Linked DNA regions of Arabidopsis thaliana. The protein of the gene in region 2 interacts with the protein of the main gene of each other region in a pairwise test. Each region holds a gene or a part of one and is shown on either strand. Other genes may lie near its edges.

Region 1 (7,001 bases), on a different chromosome or scaffold from region 2:
TCTTTTTTGTCGACCATTTTTGTTTCTGAGTTGTTCTTCTTGATTAGCTTTGTCCGCTTGGAACCAAACATGGCGAGTCTTGGCCATATAGCCAGAGAATCATCAGACATCACACGCCTCGCCCAGTTTTACAAAGAGGTAACGACACCTAATCGACGTTTTCAATTTCTTACACTTTTCTTTTTCTTATCTCTCTTCGTATTCTCTGTTCTGGGTTTGTGTTGTTACTACCAATTTCGACCCAAAAAAACAAACGCACTGAGTCGATTACCCATCTGGATTAGAATCTATGGTTTGTAATTTGGCTTTTTATTTAGAGATTTGTGTTGCTATTGTGGCTTTGTCTCTTTCTCTTGTCACTTATCTCGTTTCTAGTTTCTATTGAGAGTGTCCACTTTTGGATGCCTTTAATCCTTTTGATTAAGTTAGTGTTATCTTCATCTTCGTGGTTTGTTCTGAAACCAATGGATTATATATGTATAATTGTCAGGTGTTTGGGTTCGAGGAGATCGAAAGTCCTGATTTTGGAGACCTACAGGTGGTGTGGCTAAACTTACCAGGTGCTTTTGCAATGCATATTATCCAGAGAAACCCTTCAACAAATCTTCCAGAAGGTCCTTACAGTGCTACCTCAGCGGTTAAGGATCCTAGCCATCTCCCAATGGGTCATCATATCTGTTTCTCTGTCCCAAATTTCGACTCTTTCCTTCATTCTCTCAAGGTATTGTTTCTTTGGCTTGTTTACATGAGCTTTTGATGGTACAGTTATGGATATGATTGGTATCTTTCAGAGTTATTTAATCGATCCTTTCTCGTCCTTGTTATGATGTAGGAGAAAGGGATAGAAACTTTTCAGAAGTCTCTTCCTGATGGAAAAGTCAAGCAAGTTTTCTTCTTTGATCCTGATGGTAATTAATCTCTGTTTTGCTCTTAAGCCGGCTTAATAACTATTATAACTTGGTCAGATATATGTCTACTTTTCTTATTCAGCACAAGCATTTGCAAATTACAGTTCTTGTGTATTATATATTTATATGCATTGATGCTTTAGTACTTTGGTCTATCGATCCGGAACATGTGTTCTAGGATTATCTTTCAGCGATCCTGTCTGTTTCAACTTACAGATTCTGTCGTCAAATTTTGCAGGAAACGGATTAGAGGTAGCAAGTCGATCATGAGCCTTGAACCTGAAATATGTGGTATCACTACTTATAGAATGAAATAAAAGTATTGTATAAATAATCAGTTTGTTGAAATAAAATCTATATGTCTAGGTTTGATGTTAACTTGTGACAGCTTACGCCTCAAAGTTCGTGTCATGTGCTTTGAATGTTGGATGTATCGAATTTATGAGCTTTTCCTTGTCTAGTAGTTCCCATGTCTCTATTACAACACCGAAGAGATTGGGATAGTTATAATAGAGAGAGAGGACGATAGAGACCCAACTAAGAACAACCATACATTCACAACTCGAGATATTTTATTCATTTATTGTGAAGAGTTGTTTTGGTCATATAAACTCACCCGGTTCAACCCGGATTGAACTCATCAAACGTATCATTTCTAACTTCCGGTTGACTTGTATTGCTATAAAGCTTGGTCGAATCAGACCTAAACCTCAGATATCGAGGCTAAATTATGGTTGGCTAGATCATAGTCGGGTCGTAATTAAACCCAACCTGAAGTGAACCGAATTGGTGGTCATTTGCAACATCCATGTGTAGACTGATGACCCCAAAAATAGCAAAATAGAGAAAAATGTGTTTCAAAATTCCAGTCTAAACAAAATAGGGCATCAATTTGTGGGGCTAAGTTGTTGTCCATACCCCCAACATGGCAAGAGGCATAATGGTGTGAAGGCATTACAAACATTCTACAACTTACCATAATCTAAAATCTTATGATCCATCAGTCGCCGCTTTTGTGGTTCTTATTTGGTGATGGAATATTGGCGGACGAATCATGAGTAGCTTATGTAACAACAAAGTATGATGATAGCTATATTTTCTGTTGTGGCCCACATAAATTTATCCATATGAAAGATGAGTTCGAATCTTTTTTTTTTTTTCTGGTGCCGGATAACTACGCGAAGTGGTACCACCGGTCCACCCTAGCCTTGGCACGATGATAGCTCAGCTGTGCATTTCGAGTGTTATCCGATACGATCTTTACCAGTAACGAGGGATAACCCTGAAAATATATAGGCTACAAGCAAAAATAGTCGCTAAACTATTGAATATATGAAACACAACAAGTTTCAAACCTTTCACCAACACGACTTCACATTAGTCTCTATAACCAAATCATAATGAGATAATTCACAAAAACATGCTTCCAAAATACTTATTATATTGGATGCTTCATTTCCATTTTTAACTTGCTTCTATCCATTGTCTATTCTCACCCGCCAAATTACCAGCAACAGCAAGTCATAACTGATCGTTAGTCCTTAACTCCTTATTAGTTATTACTTGATTCTACATGTACAAAAATAGCCAGACTTAGTTATAGTCACTGGTGGCTAAAATATCTTTAGGACTTGATTAACAAAACAAATATTGACCGAATGACCTGCTTGGTCGGACCAGTGAAAACTCGACCTGACCTTGTGAATCGGACCGGTGGACCAAAAACCAGGACCACACTAGGGAAGTATTCGTACTTGAACTAACGTCTTTTGGCTTTACGTCATGATGAGTGGACCAATCTAGGTGGTGGATGAATTTACCTCCTCGTGAGCTCTCTCTATTCTGTAATTGCAAGGACACTCATTCTTCATGTTTTGCAGTTTTTGTAACTCTGACAAACTATAAGGTTATATGAATAAACCAAAATTTATAAATACTATCATTCACGTATAAAGAAAGACCTCCCCATGTTGAATTCAGCTTTGTACGTCAGTGTTTCAGAAAGAAAGTGAATAATTACAAAATTAGAAAGTATCAAACCAAAAGAAAGAAAAACGCTAAAAAAGTAAATATCTGATATTCAGATTCACTCGAAAGTACAATACCCTTTAGGGAATATATGTTTTGTAAACGTTTCATCAATATAGATGAAAATTAAGGATCCTAATAACTGCATTTAGTCAATAGTAACAAGTACCATTACTTTGTTTTGCAAGTCGCAACACAAGTGCATGTGGTGATTGGTGAACACATAGTCAACATTGAGACTCTCGGTAGCTACATAACGATTCTTGAAAATGAGATAAATCAGAAAATTGATAGTAATTCACTTATTCATTTATAAAAAAAAAATTTTTGGCAACATTAGTATATAGAAATTTGTAAATTACATAAGTACCCTTTTATAAACGTAATGAGACATTTGTGTATATATATGTTACAAAATAAGCCAACATATCCATTTGCTCGAGACATTTATTCTCTTAATTCTTCTCTCTCTCTCTCTCTTAAAAATGCCAAAAATCTTGTGGAAAAGCCTCCATCTTTGCTTCCCGTCAAATCTCACCAAATGCTATTCTTCGCCGTGTATTCCTCCGTCCTCCGCCGATCCCGACGGTATCATCCAACCTAACCGTCCCTCCATCGTTCTTCTCAATAACTTCAACCTCCTTTACCACAATGACAACCACCACCACCCCCATCGTGTCATTGACTTACCTTCTTCCTCCACCACAACCACTCCGGCCGCCACCTCCTCCTCATCCACGTCATCATATGAATCTGATATCTCTCCTGATGTATCCGCCGCTTTTGCTTCCCGTCGCTTCTTCTTCTCTTCCCCTGGTCGGTCCAATGCAATCACCGACTCACCAGAACCCCGGTCAAGAGAATTCTCTGATAATTACGATGATGCCACTATCACGTCGACAAAGAAGAAGAAAAAGAAGGTTTATGATAATTCCGTGACTACTACTACTACGAGGCTTATAAGCGGAGGAACCGCCGTAACTCAACACGTGGACTCACCGGATCCGTTAACTGACTTCCGGCGATCCATGCAAGAGATGATTGACGCCGCCATCGACGCCGGAGAACTTAGTCGTGATCCGAACGACGGTTACGATTTCTTGGATGAACTGCTACTCACTTATCTCTCTTTAAATCCAGCCGACACACACAAGTTCGTCATCAGGGCTTTCTCCGACATATTGGTCTCACTCTTGTCGGAAGAACGCCGGATATGCTGACGTGGTGATGGCCGCCGGGATAAAAAAAAAACTCCCGTGCAATGAATGCAACACGTGACTATTAGTTCAGTGAACCTAACTTTCTTTTTTCCAATGTACGTCTTCATGGAAGAGTAACTAAGCAAACCAGAAAAAATTATTACTGACAATTTCATATTTTGTATGTTTTATTAAAATAATTGAATGATGCAAAGGATAGAAGAATTTTGAGATAATTCATATATTTGGTTGGATAATATAAAGTTAGATATTTTATTGACGAAAAGAACTTCTTTTAAATGGTTTATAGTTTTAAAAAACAAAATTCGTTAATATAAACCGCACAATATAGCAAACCGGGATATCAAAACTGGTCCACTCCATGATTGAGTGAAACAGACATAAAAACATGTTTTTGTGTTGAACATCACTATTGGCAAAAAAAAAGAAAAGTATTAGAACTAGAAGTGAATTTCTAATGTGATATGAATAACAATAACTTGGTTCGGAGGTAGAAGTAATTAAAGAAATGGTTTAAACGTTAAAACTTATGAATTAACAAATAAATCAAAGCTAAATACGTCCAAAAAACTTTATGATAAGAGTTAAAATGGAACTTGGTTGGATCAATGAAGCATAAGGTTGAGTAGACAACAATATCACCAAGGTACAAAGCTTGAGGCATCGATAAACTCTCTAGTTGCTTATATTATGTCAAGGCATGCATGGATCGTGTTTTAAATATTACTATGTATCCATACTTTAATAAAGAGGCATATATAGTTAATGTTTCTACAATATATAAAGTAAAAAAAGTAGAAGTTTTTACTTTCTGTATGTTGCCTCAGTTCTTAATGTTGCCTTCATGGATGTATATGTATTATCGTTAAGACAACAAAAGGATGCTACTTTTTGCTTGTATAGTTGTATTGTTTTGTTTCTGTACAAAATATATAGACTCTGTAATATTGTTTTTTTTTTGTGAAGAAGTAATATTGTTTGTTACATCAATTAAATAATGAAATCTATTATTTTCCTTTGCTTCTTTCCATAAGATTTACACGTAACACAATGTGAGACAAAACAAAATAATTGAGAATCCTAAGAGACGGATGTTGGAAGGTCCACTCGACCAAATAAACTTAAAAAATGTAGCTAATACTTTAAAATAAGGGTCTAATTAAACAAAGTATTATAAGTTAGTTGGTTTAGGTGAAAGTAAGACCATGCCATTTGTCTTATTGATCAGTGTTCACTAAAGAATTAAAACTAGCCTCTAGACCCGCTCAATTGCGAGTAAAACACTCAACTTAATCTAATTAGTATAAGATTATACATTTCAACTATAAAGGGCTAAATAGCTCATATTTGTTAACACTTTGAATTCATTAGTGAACTAGCTAAATCTCATTTTTGCAATGAAATCAGCATGTCTTTTATTGCATGAAAGGTGCTTATGGGCGAAGTTGCAACTAATTTTTTTTTTTACTTTTGGTAAAAAAGTTGCAACTAAATTTGACTATGATGAGTTTACAATTTACAAAAAATAATAAAAAATGACTATGATGTTATATATTTATAATTAGAGAAAATGTGCGTTTTGTTAAATCGTCATGTATATGTAATAACTGACTATGATTTTATCGTAAGTTAAACGACTCAAAACGTGAGCAATCTTAATTATACTTTTCGAGTTGGTAAATGGTGCCTTGTTTTCTGCCGCTTGTCTCCAACTCTGCCTAACCACTTGGTTGATAATGATAAGTCAATAGAACCTATGCCACAATGTTTATGCGTGTGTGTGAGAGAGAGAACAAATTTGGGTCAAACGTACAGTAGAGTTTCATATGTCCATTTGACCATTTCGGTGCGAATTGAAGGTCATTTAGATAGGAAATTATCTGTCAACCACCTCACTGTTTTAAACGAATCAGAAAAAGAATCCGAGAAGAAATAATTTGCTTACTAGCTAGATTTAAGTGTTGAGATTTTTTTCAATGCAATTGCCATTTTCTTAGCCAAGCCTTTCTCCGAAATATCCCGTAAATCACAAAATACTTGTGATTACATCCCATAACGAGAATACATTTTATAATGGTCTAATAAACTCAAAAACTATAATAGTGTATAAATAATTTGTCGTTGAAATTAGCAAGTTGCCGTAGTCAATACAAATCATGTGATATCACATGTTACGACTTACGAGTTTAGACGATTTTTATTTATTTACTTATAAATGGATCCATGCATGTTATTTTCTGCAAAATTATACAATCACTTTTGAGTCCAATAACTTAAAAGTTCCACACCTACCTAAATATGGGTCAATCTCAAGATATGAGATCACTATCGAGACAAAATAAAAAGTTTGATACTCATGCACTGCATTTGGATTTCTTACCTTTCCTATCAAAATTAAAGTTATACGCTTTATTGAATTGTCAACAACATCCTAAACACTAATGCCGTGAATATTTCGGTTACTACTATGCCTTTACCGGATCACCACATCTTGCCTCGGCCGAGCCTCATATTCATTTTGTTGCGATTTCCATAATTCTTTAGAGTCAAATAAAACGATCCGGCCATGATTCATGGTGAGCAATTCCCTTAAAAGGAAACAAAAGTGTGATCACTTGATTCAGGAAAATTAAGGAAAGTAATCAAATTAATTTTTAAATTGTAGAAAAATGAAAACAAAATATCCAGCTGGAATAGCTCAGTAGGTTTAGAGCGTGTGGCTGTTAACCTCAAGGTCGGAGGTTCGACCCCTCCTTTCAGCGAATTTTGATTCTTTTAACCTATTAATCCCCCAATATGAAAAAATTCATTCAATATAATCCATATAATGTCCTACTCGATAAAA
Region 2 (18,349 bases):
GGGAAGAGACTGGTCCTGGCTCGGCGGAGGGAAGAAGAAATCCTCAAGCAAGTCAAAGGAAGAAGACATCAAACCCACGCAGCCGCCACCGCCGTCACTCGCCGGAAATACTGCAACGGCGGCGGGATGCATGAGTGCTGTCTTCAACATTTTTGATTTTCAACATTTACAGTTTCCTATTAACCACCACCATCTTCATCTTCCCAAAGGTATCATCTTCTTCCCCACTTCTTCACTCTTTTACATTACATTATTTGATTCTCTGTTATAAATCAAATTCAGGCGTAGATGCACCAAGAAACAGCTTGGAATCAACGGAGGAGGAAACTTCATTTTCACCAACCAGAAAAGATGGAAATTTAAATATCTCTGTAAGTGAATAAAACTAAAACTATCCACTCTGTTTTTTTATCTTCTTGGGTTCCTCAAAAGTTTCTTCCTTTTGACCCTAATCATGGTTTTTTCCAGATGGGTATTAAAATCAAGACCAAACCACAAGCAAGATCATCATCAGCATCTCTTACACCCACTGAAACTTACTCTCCGAGCATAAAGACACCTACTTTGGTTGCTAGACTCATGGGTCTTGATCTTGTTCCTGATAATTACAGATCATCTCCTACTCCATCTTCGTCATCTTCTTCTACCTTAATTGATCTCAAGACACCAACAAGATCTTCTCACGCAAAGAAACACAGACATTATTCTCTCCAAAGAAACTCTGTCGACGGAGGCACACGTTCTCTTCCCGAGACACCGAGGATTTCACTTGGAAGGAGATCCGTTGATGTCAACTGTTACGAACACCAACGTTCTTCACTTCATCTCAGAGACAACAACATCAACGTGTTTCCTGAAAGAGAATCTGGTATTAACAATGTCAGGCTCACGAGGGTCAAAGAGATACACGAAGATAAAGAGAATCGGAGTCCACGAGAGTATGCTAGACAGATAGTGATGCAGTTGAAGGAGAACGTTAGCCGAAGAAGAAGAATGGGAACTGATATAACCAACAAAGAAACACAACCAAGAGAGGTTCATGAGTCCAAGAAAGCTTCTTCTAAGACCACAATCATCACTCATGATGTATCATCATCCCCGAGATTGGGATTAACGGAAGTCCCCAAAACAAAACCAACCTCACTTCAGACAAATAATGTCGCTTCCAAGATTCTGGAAACAACAGCAATGAAGGTTCAAGACAAGACCAGGTTACCAACAGTGCATGAAGAGCCACAAGGAACAGAGAAAGAAAAACAGAGGAAATCTACAAAGAAATGCAAGAAACCAGAGAATTTCAAGTCGAGATTAGTGAAGCCGCCACAATCAATGCAGGAAGAGCCGTTTGTTCGATCACCAGCAATAAACAACAGCAACAACAACAACAATGGTCATCTACTTCTTATCCAAGGAGACAAATCTTCCAGCAAGAAAACTCCTTTATCCATTAATCATCTCATCAACTTCACCAGTGTTCCCACCATCAAGAAGAAAGATTCACAACCTCATCACAAATCGGTACAAAACACCTACTTACTCTCTTTACCTCCCTTATCCAAAGTTTAAATATTTAAATGTTTCATTCATGTTTTTGCAGTCAAACTTAAAGCTCAGAGAAACACAAACACCAAGAAACAGAGCATCATCATCAGAGCTCCCTAGTTTTCCGAGCCAATCACAACACCACATTGCACCAATCGCCGGCGGCGAATTAGAGTACATAACAAGAACCCTAAGAAGAACAGGAATCGACAGAGACACACCAATCTCATACGCTAAATGGTTCTCTCCTTCACACCCACTTGATCCATCAATCTTCTACTTCCTCGAACATTTCGCTGTTACATCAACCAGACCTAGAAATTCACCGGAAAATCTCTCTCTTCGATGCAATAGAAAGCTACTCTTCCACTTAGTAGACGAAATCCTCGCCGATATCTTAAAGCCACACATAAATTTGAAACCTTGGGTTTGCCATTACCCGATTCGGTCTCAGAGGAATCTAAAGGGATCGGAGCTAATCGACGAGTTATCTCGGAGAATCGAGCGGTTTCCGTTAGCAAAGTGTTTGGTTCTAGAAGATATCGACGCTCTCGTCGCCGGGGACTTCCCGGAGATTGAATCGGCGTTTGAAGAAGACGGCGAAGGAATCGTCACGGAGATCGAGAGAGGAATCTTTGAAACACTCGTGACTGAAACGACGACGGATTATTTAGCCACGTGGATGGTCAAAACGGCGCCGCTGAAACGTAACGATGATGTCAGTGGCACGTGGGGTGTTCACGTGACGAGATACTCTACAAATGTGGGGTCCCACCACGACTCGTCCTCATTGAGATTAAGGCTTCCACGTGGATAAAAGAATTCCACATGGCAGACATTTACTGGTTCTTCTTTGTATAGAGATATCTTTTTTTAATATATAGATTATTTATATTAATTTTCAAATACTTTTGTAGCCGTTATAAATAAATAAAATAAAATTTTGAAATTGTAGAGTGTGGACCGAAGTGGAGCTCTTTTGTTAGAAGATAGAAAGATCTGTCAATTTCAGATGTTTTTGTCCCCCGCGTATTCCAACATCCCATGGGTTTTGCATATGCTATGTAGACTAAAGAATAGTATTCATGAGTTTTGAATATTTTGATTTTATGTTGTTGGCTATTCTTTTTGTAATGAAATCTTGACGATAAAGATGTGTCAATAAGGGGGAAAAAAGATGTGTCAAGAGACGTTTCTTTCACGCATTTGATGACATTGAATCCTTAGTCAAGATGAATTATGGGGTCTATTGGAAATATTTGAAATCATATCGTAGCTAGATTCGGAAATAGTCGTCTAGTTTTGAATACTATACACGAAAACTAGAGAAGCATTTACTATTTACTATTTTAGTGGTTTTAGGAGAAGAAAATAACTTTGGGCCCAAAACATTTTGTTTGTTTTTTGCCATATTAGCCATGTCTTTGTCTGAAAATTTGAACTTACTTTTTTTACATGAGTTTGAATTATATCTTCAAATATTTAGTGTTTAGAGACCATAATGATTTGATTTGCAGATAACATATTTTAGTTTCTGAATTGTGAATGCAAGTTTATCAAAAGTGTCGGTGTAGTGCAGAGTCTTTGTTGATGTACTTTATACGTAAAGGTGTCCTATGAAGAATGTGATGAGTGTTATGGTCTCGTATGCTTTGTGTATTGCATGTAATTAGATTCATTATTTGTAATATGTCATCCGACCAATTACAAACAAACAAAGGAAATTTACAAAATCATCCAAGTTATTTTGAAAAAATTATCCAATAAAATCATTCGCTTTGAATTCACAAAATATATAAATGAAATAGGCAAGCCTAACATATTAAAAATATTCAGAAATATAGAATTACCGGTAATTGGAATCTACCCTTTAGTCCCACTTAATTTGACACAAACAACAGTTAAAGGTTTCAAAGTTCTGAAGATGTGACACACATCACACTTTTGCAGAAAGAATTATTCACTCCAAAAGAAATATGACATTATAGTTATGGTGATGTGACAAAATGATCTCAATTTGTTTTTAGATAAATATATAAACCATTTTGAACAATTGATTGATTACATTTTAATGTGTTTAGTGATGACTGATGAGCTATTACAGTAACTACTTTCCTATTATATAGATCATTTTTTTTTTGGTTGATTGTTTGTTATATTCATATTCCTATTATACATGATCATATTCCTATTATATAGATTATTCATATCTGTTTGATTGTTTGTTATATTTATGGACTATGTCAACTTTTTCTCGACCTAATGAGTTTGAATGTGTTAAACGTATTGAAAATATGGTAAAATAAAAAATTAGCATACATCCATGAAGCAACAAGTTTTCAAAAACCTTTGACGATTATGACGTTGACGATGGGTACAAAAAAACGTACGTAAATTTCGAGAGGAATCTTGTTATGTATCTTTGTTCTTATTATCATGTCATGAGAGTTTGTGCATCTCAGAGAGCTTAAATAATTCTGACGATTGTCCAAATAATTACAGCAAAGCAATGTAAGAGAAGAATATTTCTGATAGATATAAAGAAATATTTTAAGGAAAAAAAAAAGAAAAGAGAAAAGTAAAAAGGTGAAGAGAACCTTGTAAAGTAGTAAAAAGACAAGACGAAAGATAGATTTTGCATGGACCCGAGACATTTACGTGAAGTTTAAAGCTACATCTGTCGTAATGAAGACACCATTCATGCAATTTAGAATGCATATACATTTAGCGTGTTCTTTTATTTGACGCTGCGACAGCGGCAATAGCGGACTGAAACGACGTGTCATGAGAAGTAGTAGGTAAGTAAAACGACATTAAAGCTTGAAAATAATAATTTTGGATGAGTCGCCGATGATAGCCGATGAATTGCAACTGCATCAAATGAATCGCTGAAATTAAGCAGCGTCACGTCAATCTTCATCATCGTACATCTTCTGCGGCAGTTATTCTCTAATCACTGTATTTTTTCTCGCCGCAGATCTGTTTTTCTTCTTTGTTGTCGCTGACGCTGCGTTCATTAAAAGAACACGCTAATTATATAGTTTGTTAAATATGTATTGCATGACAAAGAAATTGCTTTGTTTTGTGTTTGTTCACAGACTTACGGTGGCCGAGATTGTAACTCTACTTTCATTGCACTTGCACATACAAACCTTATCATTACAGAAGTCCTGAAACAGTTACAATTAAACTTGCACTATCAAGATAAATTTAAGCATTGAAATCTCATTATCTAGCTAAAAAATAATTAGAGCGATAGATAAAAGCATACAATTCAAACACTTTAACCGTTTATAACTTTTTTTTTTTTGCCGTTTATAACTTTATTAATGAAATTCTTAATATATTTGTTTTGGAAATAAAATCTAATTCACAACCGATATATCTAATTATTTAATAAAATATATTTTTGTACAGCAAACAAGATCAACATGGATGACTCTAGCTAATTATAACATGCTGGAATATCCAAAATTTTACATCTATCTTGTATAAGAGAAAAAAATAATACTCAACTGGAGTATCATCAGATTTCCACATTTAAGTGTCTATTTCTTTTTTGGTCAAATAAAATGTCTATATATAATTGACAAAACTGCCTTTCGATATATGTATTTGTTGTTGTTGTAAGCGAGTGTATAGATGTATTATATTTGTCGTCGTCTAGGTGTCCAACTAATCTGTCGACCGTTGAGCGGGAAATTCAAAATAAGCAGCAAAAAAAAAAAAAAAAAAAAACTAAGCGAAGTCACATGGGCGTTTATGTTTTTTTAATAATTTCATTTTCTTTTACTAATCGTTACTATATGATATCAAGATGTTGATAAAGGTTGACCAAAATCTATTAAATGATGTTCTTATAAACTAATCTCTTTGCATCTTTTCTAGCAAATATTAATTGACTACCCAGTTTGTTGGAATTAAATGTTTTGTTGGCAAATCTATGAACATATATATAGTCGAGTTATATTAAATAAGTAACTGAAAACATGTACAGTCCACTTTTGGGAGTATGCATATTATTTTCTAAAATGTATAGTGTAAATTCTAAGTGTCCGAGAGTACTCTTTGAGCGTACGGTAACCTTGGATCGGATACAGTTAAATGAAAAACGAAATCAAGAAAACGTGAAGAAATATTTTCCCTAAGGAGTATATTTTATACATAATATATGAAGTTGAAGATTTAGACATTGAGATTTTTAAAGCTAATTAGTTTCGATACTACACATATTTCAACATGAGAATGTTTAAGTACACTGTGCGTATAGCTAGCAAATAAAGACATTCTTCCTTTAATCGAAGGAATGCTCAACCATAAATTGGCTAAAACTGAAATCATGGCCCGTAACAAACTAGCAATATTCTAATTCTAGTTGTAAAATTACAATAAGTTTATGGAAAAGATTTTAGATGAATTTACAATAAGTTAAATGCAAGGGAAATGCAGTTAGGCGACCCTTTTAAGAAAAGAGAATAATTTATCTTTGGTTCCACTTCTAATTTACTCTTCTTCTTTTTTTTTTTCTTTCTTATTATATGTTGGGTTACAATAGAAAGCCAAAAGGGACTTACAGAAAATCAGGAAAAAGTGTAAAAGTTAAAAAGCATACTATGTAAAGTCTTAGAAAGACTATAAAACGAATCAGCCATATGCATGGCTCCTCTAATCTATGTACGTGTACGAGAATGTAAATGTATTGAATATTTCGATATATAATATACAAGTAATTTCATCAACTGGAAGTATAACTTGATGAGTTGATTAATATATAATTTTACAATCGATAAATATTTTGTCTTGAAGGTAAATTTACCGCTACTGAGAAGAAAAAAAAGATTATTTTCTCTAAAACTCCTGGTTACATGTTGATAATGTATATGTTCTCCATACTCAATTATTACAATTATCTAATGAATAGATTATTATTACAAAAGCAACGGTCGAGGTTAGTGAATTTCAAAATTCAAATACAGCAGAATTAAGCAGCTAACCGTGAGCTGATGCATTTATCTCCTATACACTAGAGTATTAATATTATCCTATCAAGTAATTAGTAGTATCTAACTTCTGTGTATCTGATTATAATATACAGTACTTGCAAACGAGTAAACTGCAACAAAGACTGGTGGGCCATGGGTGGGTAGTTGGCTGTATATTAATATAATCCATTGGATCCTTATTGGGCCGATTGGAGCCCATAACTTAGGCCGAAGATTTGTTTTAGATTTTGGATGATGACTGGACATTCCAAGTATGAACCCAAGAATGTTTCTTAACATGAGCTTCCAAATACAGTGTGAATAGTGTAAGAACATCATACCCCACAATTAGTTGAAGGATTTTGAATATACTGTATATATATATCTCTTTAATTGTATAAGGACTAGAATTATAACAACTCAGAAAATACTATCCCAAATCATTACCTCACAATTTATTGAATGATTTTGAATATTTCATGATAAATAAATAAACATATTATATAATGTTACTAGCAGTTTCTATTTGGCAAACCGATGAATAAGTCAGTTTCAACTTCCAAATTCAAATCTATAACTTTGTATTTCTCTTGCTGCTGATCAGTCGATGATCCTCTCCATGGATTAATAACATTCTGTCCATGACATAGATTGCAATTTCATCAACCATAAAACATATCATTTTATAATTTTATCTCTAGGAGAAAATGTTAAAAATGATATCCAAAAGTTGTAAACAAAACCAACTGAAAAAGTCAAACTCAAACTTAAATTTTGAAATCCTTAAAACTAATCAAATACTTTATCAAAAAAAAAAAACTTGGAACGAGAACCAAATTTTACCGAATAGCACCGTATAATCTCTAACAATGATTTTGCCGGAGAAAAAAAATCTAAAAATGTAAAAAATCAACCGACGAAAAACAATCAGAGTTCTTTGGGTAATATTTTCAGCATACTAAAGCATTAGCAATTCATAACATATATGATATATATGTAAATTTCAGTTGAATTAGTATTGGTATATACAATTCTAAATATGTGAATTGTAAAGAGAGATGGGTCACCTTTTGATGTAACTTGACGTTCTCTTCTAACAATTGTTTCTCCTGAAACACAACCGACACTCTTTCACCAATTTCATATAAAAAAGCTAGTTAAAAAATTGCATGTATGATATACATATCTTATATTATAACATAATGTATCAAACCTTTGCTTTTAGTTTCTCCAACTGCTCCTTGAACAATTGAGCCTATAAAACATTTTGTCCAACTTTTTTTTTCATTTCCATGATAACAACACTAATATACAAACACACATGTGACTTGACTCTTGATCAATGTTAGTATATTGGTTGAGATATGACGCTAAATGGTTGCAAAGATCTGTGTTCAAGTTCATATCTAAATGAGGACTATAACTTGATGACTGAGATGGAGATTATTCAAGTCAATATGTGTTGTATAGTTACATTAGATCATCATCATATACCAATTAGATAGTGATGAAGTATATGTACCTTTCTTTCTCGGACCTTTCCCAGACTTCTTTGGAGTTGACTATCGATTTCTTGAAGCTCTTCTAGAGAACAAGAAGCAATTCCTTGTCCCAATAGCTTCCTATACACACGCAGAGGAGGGTTCATGAACAAATTTTGTAAATCTCCAAAGTAGTTCTCCTATTTGAGATCACTAACAAATACATTAATGATATTACTATAGTATGGTCTTTGATTACATGCGTACCTTTACATACGGAAACAACTAAAAGGACTTTTAAATCTAAACGACTAAAGGTTTCAAATTTTATAAAAAAAATTCTTGAAATACTAACAAAAAGGTTAAAAATTATAGTATTGAAATAAATAAAAAATGGTTAATGAAGTCTTAAGGATATGGATCTACAATTAATAAAGAAAGTTTGGTTAAAAAGTCTAAGCTTATATGGTTTTATATATAAAACGAAACAAAATACCGTAAATGAAATTAAAGGAATAATAATCAAGATTGTGATCTAAGAGAAGTAGCAACGAAAAGAAAAAGAAACAAAAAGTCTAAGACATTATACCGCTTGTGAAACTCAAGGAGTTCAATCTTTGTTATCATGTGGCTTGCTTCTTGTTTCAATTGCTACAATACGCCCACAAAATAAAATCATAGGATGCAAAAGAAGTAAAACAGATCAGTATGTAATCTTTGTGACCATCGATCCATCAGTTGTTTTGTGATGTAGTAATTGATCTCATAAGATTTGGTTTTGTTGGCCATTGAAAGTCAAAGAATCAATTATTAGGGACAATGTCCCACATCGGAAGTTGAGTAGGATCTTAAGTGGTATATATAAGATATGGGTCTCTCCACCTATTGCCAATTGGTTTTAAGTTGGAAGCCCACAGTCTAATATCAATAGCATGGAAATCATGTAAAGTTTAAGTTTGATTATTTTTACCAAGGATAAAACCGTGAAAGTCATCAAGTGAAAAAAAAAGAGTTTGCTAACAAACCTGCAAGTGAATTTGTGAGTCGTGATTGCTGGTTTCATGATCTTTTGTGTACTTGCGGTAGCGTTCGATCGTCTTCTGCATACTGATGATCAAAAATAGACATATATTTTCAGAAATATGAACTAACGTACTTATCTTCGTATTTGTTTTATCTATAGCTCTACTATATTTGAAATAACATCTTATCGCAACGAGATATGAAAATTTTGTTTGACTGTAGTATGATTCTTAGATTGTACTACAATATCTTCTTTGCTGTTGGTTAATATCTCTATAGCTAGGTAACTATTCAAATCCATGCCCTATGATTCACCGGGCCCTTTTTTGTCCATTTATTGAACTCTTTTTTTTCTCACATCAAATAATTGAATCTAGATCCATTAACCCATTAGGAAACCTCTAATCAACAATATATATTACTATAGAGAATAACAAATCACAACTTTAGCTACTTGGTTCTAACATTGATTATAGCAAAAACTTAAGGATGTGAATGTGTTAAACATATATATATATAGGGAACTATGTATGCACTGGACACCTGAATCAAACGAGGAAGAGCAAGCATTATTACTACATGGCTGCAAAAGTAGAGCCCAAATAAAGACATAACGAAAACCAAAAACGATAGTACACAACCTAATTAACTAGGGGCAAGAAAAAGTAAACTTATTTTATATTATCACCAAAGAAATGGGTAAAAATATGTGCAACTTGGTACGGATCACAATAAATAATCATCAAATTATAGAATAAATCCCATTTAGATCTACTTCCGATGTTGTTTTCTGTTCATATATACTTTCAAGAATTTGGAAACCCTAGAAACATACACACACATATATCAATATATACGCACACAATTTAGTTTGGATGTAAAGTTTTGGTAGATCAGAAAAAAGGAGTTTGTCTAGATTTCTAACCAAATGACTATTATAAAAATAGAAAAATGAAATTAGACTGATAGGGGAAGAGAAGAAAGAAATCTTTAGGATTCAGACAAGGATCGAATCTCTCAAGTACCAAAATCTGAGAAGGTTGCTTTAGTCAATAACGATTCAGAAAATAAATCAGAACAGACACAAACACATGACCTAAAAGCCTAATTAACCCCCCAAAAAAAGTACGATCGGAAAAGTAAAAGAAGATGAATTAAAAGAATCAAGAAGAAATTGAAGAAAACATACTCAGAGCTAGAGAATTCATAAAGCCTTCCTCTCTGGGAGAAGATGATGAGAGAGAGTTGAGCATCGCAGAGTACTGAGAGCTCATAAGCTTTCTTCAACAAACCATTTCTTCTTTTTGAGAAAGTCACTTGTCTACTCGTTGCGTTTTCTATTTTCTTCATCTCTATCTTTCCTCTAACCATTTTTCTTGCTTTGACTTGATTTTTTCTGCCACAAGATCTGTAAAGATTGAAACCCTAAACAAGCCAGTGACCAGTCATCATAACCAAAGTCATAAAAGAGAGAGAGAGATCTCACCGAATAGGGAGAGTAATTGAATGTCGGTAGAGAAAATTGAAGAAGAGATAAGCTAGTAGTGAAGAAAGGGTGATTTAAAATCAAGAACTTCACAGGAAAAGATCATTGTGAAAGATTGAGGAAAGAAAGATTTGAAATTCTACAAAAATGGAAAGAGGAAAAGGTATTTGGTTTTTCTGTCAGGAGCCCTAGAATGATCTGTGAGAGAAGGAAGGGGCAAGTTTCTTAATGTTTTTTTTTTTTATAGAAAGTTTTTTTTTATGTTTTATCACTTTTCTTTTTTGTTTTATGGGTCACAATAAAATGATGCCATTCTTATTTTCATTTCTGTTCTTGATAATAATAAAAATTATGTATAGAGTATTTTAAATTTGTGTCCATATCTTCTCCTCCCCACATACAAAAGGATAATTAGATGCCAAAACAAGAAACAGGATAATTCTTGTTTTTATTTTATTTATCTGGAAAACAACCAAACTTGGTTATAAGAATTGATTTATTTGTCAACAAAAATGTGTGTATATACCAATATATGGTTATATATATATATATATATATATCAAATTTCAATAAAATGGTAATTAAATACTACTGTAATATTCATACGATTTAGTATTTTCACTCTCATTTTAAGTAAGTTAGTACAGTTTTTATATAAAAATGTAATTTATTAGATATTTCTCCTTCACGTTACGGAAGTAAATATCATAATTATTGTAGCTGTGCACCAATTATAGTATTTCAACCTTTATTTATATAATTGAGAAAAAAGACAATCGTGGCAGGTTCAAATGTTGCATTAAAATAATAGCCGTACGAAATATAACTTAAAATATATATATAAAAAAGCTATTAAGCATTAGGAAGATCCATTTGGTCTACGAGATAAACATATTCTTTACCCTATTTTGGCAAACTTAACGAGGAAAGAAAGAACAAGGGATTTTGGAAAGTCTCCGCTAAAATAGGAAATTTTGGGGGAGAGAAGATCGATGGACGACTTTGAGGCTTTGAGCAATATTAATAAAATCATTTATTAGTGTTTGAATTTCTAACGATGTCGTCATTACTAGAGAACATAACACTTAATTATAGGATTAGTGGGAGTCAATTTAAATGGGGTCAATTTTAAAAGTTTTGTGATTTAATAAAAATTTAGTAGAGAATTTCAAAATTTTCGTGAATACTATTTTTTTAATAGTATTAACAAACTGATTTCTCGACAAGCTCGTAGCTAAAATATGTTGTTAAAATTAATTGAAGGCATTGTGACTAGTAGCTCCTAATGAACATAGTCGTTAACAGAAATCAAAAGATAGGAACTAGAGAACCTACTACGTGTCATTATGTCTATGAGTTAAGAGAATAATAATACATTGTCCTCTTTCTATTATTTTTAATCTTAGGAGAAAACGAGAGGAGATGAAACAGTATCGAAAAGGCCCACGCCAAAAAGAAAACAGTGTTGAAAATTGGCATCGACATCATCGTACTATGTCAGTGCTTTGTCACGTGTCTCGCACTGATTCGTTTCACTTGTTCGATTACCGTTCCAACTGAATTAGTATACAATTTGGGCAATAAGTCTTAGTTTAATACTGATTGGATATTCGATTTTTGGATTTCCTCACCAAATGTTGGATCTTTTTAAAAAATGAAATGGTCGATATGTAAGGGAGACGTTCAAGCAGTTGAATAAAATATTTTGGATAAGTCCAAAGGCCGATTTAGATAATTAAGCCCAAACTCCAAAGGCCTATTGAGATACAAGACTATAAATAAGGCCCAAAAGCCTTTTAATAGAGATTCCACCTGAAAGAGAAGGTTTACGTTAGCGGCGTTTGCCTTCAACCTCTGCTTTCTGACTCCCGAAGCGAAATACTGCAAATCGGAGAGATTCAGCCGTTTCAACTGTCTTCGCGATGACTATGGTCCGTTAATATTTTCAAAACTCGTAACCTTTCTCTGTAAAGTCTATTGGTGTGTCTTGTTAGTGCAGATTCGTCTTGGTTTACACTTTAGTCTAGAAAAAATCTACTATAATTCAGACGATACAATTTCTGCATTGGAGAAACATAATAGAACCATCGAAATTGTCTTTTTTTTCAGAGGATTAATGGTTTTTAGACTTTAGATCGTTGCTTATATCAAAGCTAACAAAGAGGTTTAGATGGTTGATGAAATGGAAATTTGATGTGAAAGATGCAATGTGCAAAGTGAATGCTATTAAAACTTAAATCGAGAGAACCGCACTAGTTTTGTAGCCAGAGAGACCAATTCTCTATCAATCAATCTCGGCTTTGGACATGTCCAAAAGAAGGATTGATATTAGCAGAACCGGTTATAGACTGTGTTTAAGCGGAAGCAGTGACAGGGCAACTCTCCTTTGGCAAGTGACATAGCCAATAGTCAAGAACACAAAAGATACAAATAGCCAAGTCGCCTGCCAATAGAAAGATGCCCTATTACTGCTCCGCTTATCGTAACTTCCTCTTTCAATGTTGGTTTTTCTTTTTGGTTTGCTTTGAGAGAAGGCTGGTTGGTTATTCATGGACTAATGGCTCAGTGTATATATATGAGTTTTAATAAAAGTGGTGACCTTTTTGACATTTGAGTGCTTGAAGAAAAAGGAGAAGATGCTTTGATGGGGTTATTCCCATGGATATCCATATCCATTTTTTTCTTTTTGAAGTGTTGGCTTTTGATGATGATGCTTCTCATGTTCTCTCATTATTTTGCTTCATTATGAAGCCATTCAAGTATGTTTTTTTTACCCACCAAGGTTCCAAGGCATGTCTGTCTCTACTATTGAAGCATTTTACTTTTCATATGTTTCATATGCGCCTGAGTACTTGAATGCTTTGTTTTTTCAAGAAAAAGGAAATTAATCTTGGCTTTTTTTCTTTTGGTTTCAAGATAATTAAAATGTAGACTGGTTATTATGGAAGTGGAAGAATTGGAATATAAACTGATAAATTGGCATATCCTATTTGAAGGGGTTATTCCATGAATATCCAGAAGTTGAAAACGGATCGTTTTGACAAGAATATGATCTCTCTTGATTTATGCTTTTATGAAGAGCCAAAGTTGAAAGTCATCATTTGACTCATTACAAAATCATCCAATTCTCAACTGCTGCCAAATCTCATTTCTTACTCTGTTTAGCTGGTTGTGGAGTGATTTACTCTGTCCTCCAAGTAGTTTTTGTTCACTTCCTTGAGTTCTACGTCATGAGATAGACATCTTCATAGCTTAGTGTTTTTTTATTTACATTCTCTTTCTCATATAGTAATTGCTTTACAAGATTTCCATACTACAATTTCATAGCTATTGTAGAATCTTTTTAGTAACTGATTTTACCTTTTTTATTTTGTTGGTAGGGGTTCTACTGTGGTAATACATGCATCATAGGAGAGGTAATTAAAGAGCGTTCAAGCAAATACAATATCATAGTAAATACAAAGCGTGCATTCGAATGATTTGCAGGTAAGTTAGATGGTTTTGTATTTCTTCATCAGAGATGGAGTCATGGAGAGTTACGTGTGTCACTTACAGACTGATTTACATTCTCTTTCCCATATAACAGCATTCATGAATGGAATTGACTGGTTTGTCTTAGTATCAAAATCCGAATTGAAATGTAATTTCACTGTTCTAAAAAAAATCTCAAAAAACAAGCAAGAATAACTAAAACTTTCAAGCCCAAATAGCTAAAAGAGACATCAAACCAGCACCAACAACAAGAGATACACTACAAGCTACTTGTATCTTCATACTACTCTGAGTTTTTTGGTTCATAAAAAGTGGAGCTACCAAATCAACAAGCGCCATGTAAATCAAGATTCCAGAGGCCGTGGCATTAAGAAAACCGGAAACTTTTAGGGCCATTGGGCTATTCTCGTTGTAAATCTCCGCCACTCCAATACCAATTCCTATCCCTATTGGTGCCGTGAGTGCAAAGAACATCAACATAACCCAAATTTTCTTTACTCTAAACTTTGCCTCAGAGATGCAACCACCAAGGCCAAAACCTTCAAACAATTGATGGAAAGTAATTGCAGCTATGAGAGGCTTTATTGTGCTCACACTTGGAGATGCTCCTAGAGATATTCCTATTATCACTGAATGAACCACAATCCCCAATTCCAATATCTAACACCATAAGAAAAATAGACAACATGTGACTAATAATACGGGTTTGTCTTTATCTAAATCAAGAATTTCCAAAAACTTTAACGTACCTGAGTTACAATCTTTTTCCTCATATCAATGTGATCATCATCTTGGGGAATAAGAAGAGAGCCATGAGAATGTCCTTGTGAGGCATGAGTATGAGCAGAGCCAGTGTGAGCATGTTCCTCCTCTCCGCCTGTACTCACCGGCAGAGTCTTACCCTCTTTCGCCAAGCGAGATCTGTTCAAATACCCTGAAGCAAAGGATTCAATCAACATTGTCAAGATCGATGCAGCCATGGCAACGAGTCCCGTCATCGGAAAATCTCCCCACGGTGGTTCTTCTCCAAGGCACGAACTCGTGAGACTCTCGGTAGCATCGGGAAGAATGTGGACAAAGCCGGTGGCTAGAATTACGCCGGCAGCGAATGCCTTCACGTACATGAAGAAATTGCTCTCCGTCTTGAGGCCAAAAATAGGTAAACAGACGCCAAATACTCCGGCGATTAAGATGGAAAAGAAAGCTATGATCTTGTATTTAAGAGCCGATGCTTTCTCCGCAGCAGAGCCACCTTTGGATCCGCCGCATTGGTTTTCTTCCTCTGCCGCTGAGACTAGAAGAGGAAAAATAACCAAGCAGAGAACGAAAGCAGAAACTAGGGTTTTACGGAATCTACTCATCGTTTACTTTTGACAAAAGTTAGGGTTTGTTTTTTTTCTTCTTCTTCCTTTGTGGCTTTGATTGTGGGTTTGTAACAGCGAACAACTCACGTTTCTTATATATAAGAGATTCTTGTTTACAGAGGTTTTGGAGATTTTGTGCAATTCTTTGGGAGTAATGTCGACATGCACGGTAATAATGTTCATTTTACTTTTACTTTGGGAATTTTGTTTTTGAAATTAGAAGCTATAGTGTTAGGAGATGACGACATAATTAGTCTAGGTGTGTAGTTTATTAGTTTTTGGAATATTGCATACAAAAAAGGAAGTCTAGAACTAGAGTTGGTGATAATTTTGAATAGTTATGTAATTAATTGAGAATGAGATATTTTTGACTTGCATATATATATTTCAAACATAATTATTTGTAACGGGACGAATGAGGCAACGTTCAGATAATACTTTATTGTTGTGATAATAATACATCATATTACATTAACAAGCAACAGAATATGAAGTTTTAAAGCATTCTCGGAACATATGATATTATGTCAAATTCGATAAACCTACGAATAAGTTCTCTTCGACCAGGGAGAAATCAAGGTAACATAATGACATAATTCACTCATTGGGCATCATGCGACCAATTCTAACTTTAAAGATATCCACTATGCGATCCATAAAATCCCTACTTACCCATATCGCTAAAAAACTTCAAAACTTTAAGCCCACTTGCAAAAATTTCAAGTTTGGGTTTCCAACATAATCAGGTCCGACCCACATTACAAGTCAATGAAACGATGGCTTAGGGCTCGAAAGTTGAAGAACTGATATGGATTGGGAATGGGCAACTTGACCATGTATTTGTAAAAATTTCTTAAGGTTTTTGCCAAAACAAAATCCTTATTTGGATTATAGCAAGAGACACAAACCATGCGGCTATTGTTCTTTGAAATTCGTATATATCAATAAAATTCATATTTTCATCCACGAGTTTCTAAGCATAAATTCACACATCATTGAATATAGCACACCTATTCATCAAATAATCTGTCCTCTTTGGATACGAGAATTCTATAAGTGGAAGAATTATTAAACGATGAAGCTTTTTATTTGTAGAATAACATAACTCCTTTATTGATATTTTGCCACTAGTAAAGACTGTAAAGTCGTTGACCTTTTTCTAACTTGGCGTTTCGTTATTGCATTCATCAGCTACTAATTTTGTTTAATCAAATTTTCCACCCCAAAGACCAAAAATCATCGATAATTACCATATACACCTAAATCTAAATGAACTTGTAAACCCACAAAACATGAATAATCAACTCACGGTACACAACTCTGTTTTTGCTCTGTTTCTTTCAAATCTCTGTATTTATTTTTGAATCCTTTAGTAATATATACATACATACTTAAGGTAAAGTATGCTTCAAACAAAATTTTAAAAGAAGAGAAAAGAGAAAGAAAAAAGAAACGTATTTGTTATATGTCTTACAATTTCCTGTTGAAGTAAAAAGGTGCGATCTTGAGAACAAGACCTGGAAAGACATCATCGGGATCATGGATATGCGGGTTTCGCTCCACGATAAACGGGTCGCCGCATTTATCGCCGATGGTGTGAAGTGTCTCTCCTTCTCCGACGATGTAAATCTCCTCACAAGGTTTCGTTGAGAATTGAGAACCTCTAATCGAATTAGAAGCGTTGTTTTCACGAACAGATAACAAAAGTATTAAAGACAATAACACAACAGCAGAACACCAAGCACTCATGTCTGAAGAACCTGTTCTTGAACCTCTCATGCCTTTAATTTATAAAAAAAAAACGCTTTGAATTCTCTCTCTCTCTCTCTCTCTCCCTGTCTCCTTTTGACTTTGAGAATGAATGTATAAATTAGGTTTATTTAACATGCGTTGCTCGAGAGGGATTTATATGGCAAGATAGGGTAGGTTAGTCTTTTCAGTTTATGGGTTTTGTGTTGTGTTGGGTTAGAGACTTGGTCTCTTGTGCCTTGCGGTGAAGGTCAACGGTTGTGACTCACTAAAGGAGATTTTAGCACTTTCTTTAACTATTCCTCCAAATCATATCCATCCTCCAAAAATGGCAATAGACAATAATTAATTTTATTTTTTTACGCTTAAAATTTAGTAATTTTTATGCCAACTTTTTTTTAGCAAAAAGGAAAAGAGATATGTAAATATTAAAAGAAATATGTAAATAAAACAATAACAAAAAAATATTGAATGGTAGAGTCGTAGATGATTTTATTAGATTAAAGTTTTATAAGAAATTTTCTGATCTTCTCTTTTAGTACTGGTTAAGATATTGGAATATTTCTTTATTAAATTTAAGATATGTTTTTGAAAGCACTCTTGAGCTAATTAATATAATAGTTGACCAATTGTTTTAATACTTTTACAAATTTAAACTAAAATTCCAAAACTATAACATAATGTAATTTCTGAGTGCAAAATTCGCCGGAGGCTAATATTAGGCAGGGGGTCTTACCTTAGCCGGGTTCCTTCATCCAAAGTGGCAAGGCAATAGCCTCGACAAAAAACAACAAAAATCAAGATCAAAATCAAAATAAAATTCAGATATCATTGATTCGTTTATATTCAAAGTTATACTAAATATGTTATATGTGTGGTTATTGGGTCACTTTTTTGAAAAAGATATCGTATAAACGAAGGAAAATGGAGAAAATGAGGTTCAAATTAAGAAACGTAGCCTTCCAAAGTAGCCGCCGTTTAAAGACACGTAAGTTATTAGTTCCACAAAAGCCAACGTTACAACTACCTTTCTATAATTACTTGATTAACCTCTTGACTTTCAAAATTTTCAGATTACAAAATTCTCTGTTCATTATAAAGTGGTTCATCAGTGTGATTATTTGTTCGTTTTTTGTCAACGTGTTATTGATCGATTCGATTATTCATATATTTAGGATTAAACTTTTTTTTTGGAACCAACTGTCATTGTATCGGTTGTCCTGTCGTGCA

Evidence for each region.
Region 1: the proteins of AGL42 (region 2) and OFP16 interact in a two-hybrid assay, tested with the Arabidopsis thaliana proteins (one large-scale study listed by BioGRID).

What each region holds. Positions count from the first base shown.
Region 1 is NC_003071.7:13,644,431-13,651,431, forward strand, and holds OFP16 (ovate family protein 16), read left to right. Parts: upstream 1-3,268; 5' UTR 3,269-3,421; coding exon 3,422-4,156; 3' UTR 4,157-4,572; downstream 4,573-7,001. Other genes in the region: AT2G32090 (Lactoylglutathione lyase / glyoxalase I family protein), read left to right, coding at 70-138, 491-721, 833-908, 1,147-1,178.
Region 2 is NC_003076.8:24,957,125-24,975,473, reverse strand, and holds AGL42 (AGAMOUS-like 42), read right to left. Parts: upstream 10,829-18,349; 5' UTR 10,515-10,828; exon of another isoform or gene 10,425-10,514; 5' UTR 10,400-10,424; coding exon 10,218-10,399; intron 9,113-10,217; coding exon 9,031-9,112; intron 8,657-9,030; coding exon 8,595-8,656; intron 8,147-8,594; coding exon 8,047-8,146; coding exon of another isoform or gene 8,011-8,046; exon of another isoform or gene 7,780-8,010; coding exon 7,738-7,779; coding exon of another isoform or gene 7,732-7,737; exon of another isoform or gene 7,634-7,731; coding exon 7,592-7,633; intron 7,160-7,591; coding exon 7,037-7,159; 3' UTR 6,867-7,036; downstream 1-6,866. Other genes in the region: TRM25 (LOW protein: M-phase inducer phosphatase-like protein), read left to right, coding at 1-209, 283-371, 469-1,518, 1,598-2,359; ZIP12 (zinc transporter 12 precursor), read right to left, coding at 14,211-14,666, 14,756-15,367; AT5G62150 (peptidoglycan-binding LysM domain-containing protein), read right to left, coding at 16,841-17,149. UniProt on the Arabidopsis thaliana protein: MADS-box transcription factor that acts with AGL71 and AGL72 in the control of flowering time. Promotes flowering at the shoot apical and axillary meristems. Seems to act through a gibberellin-dependent pathway.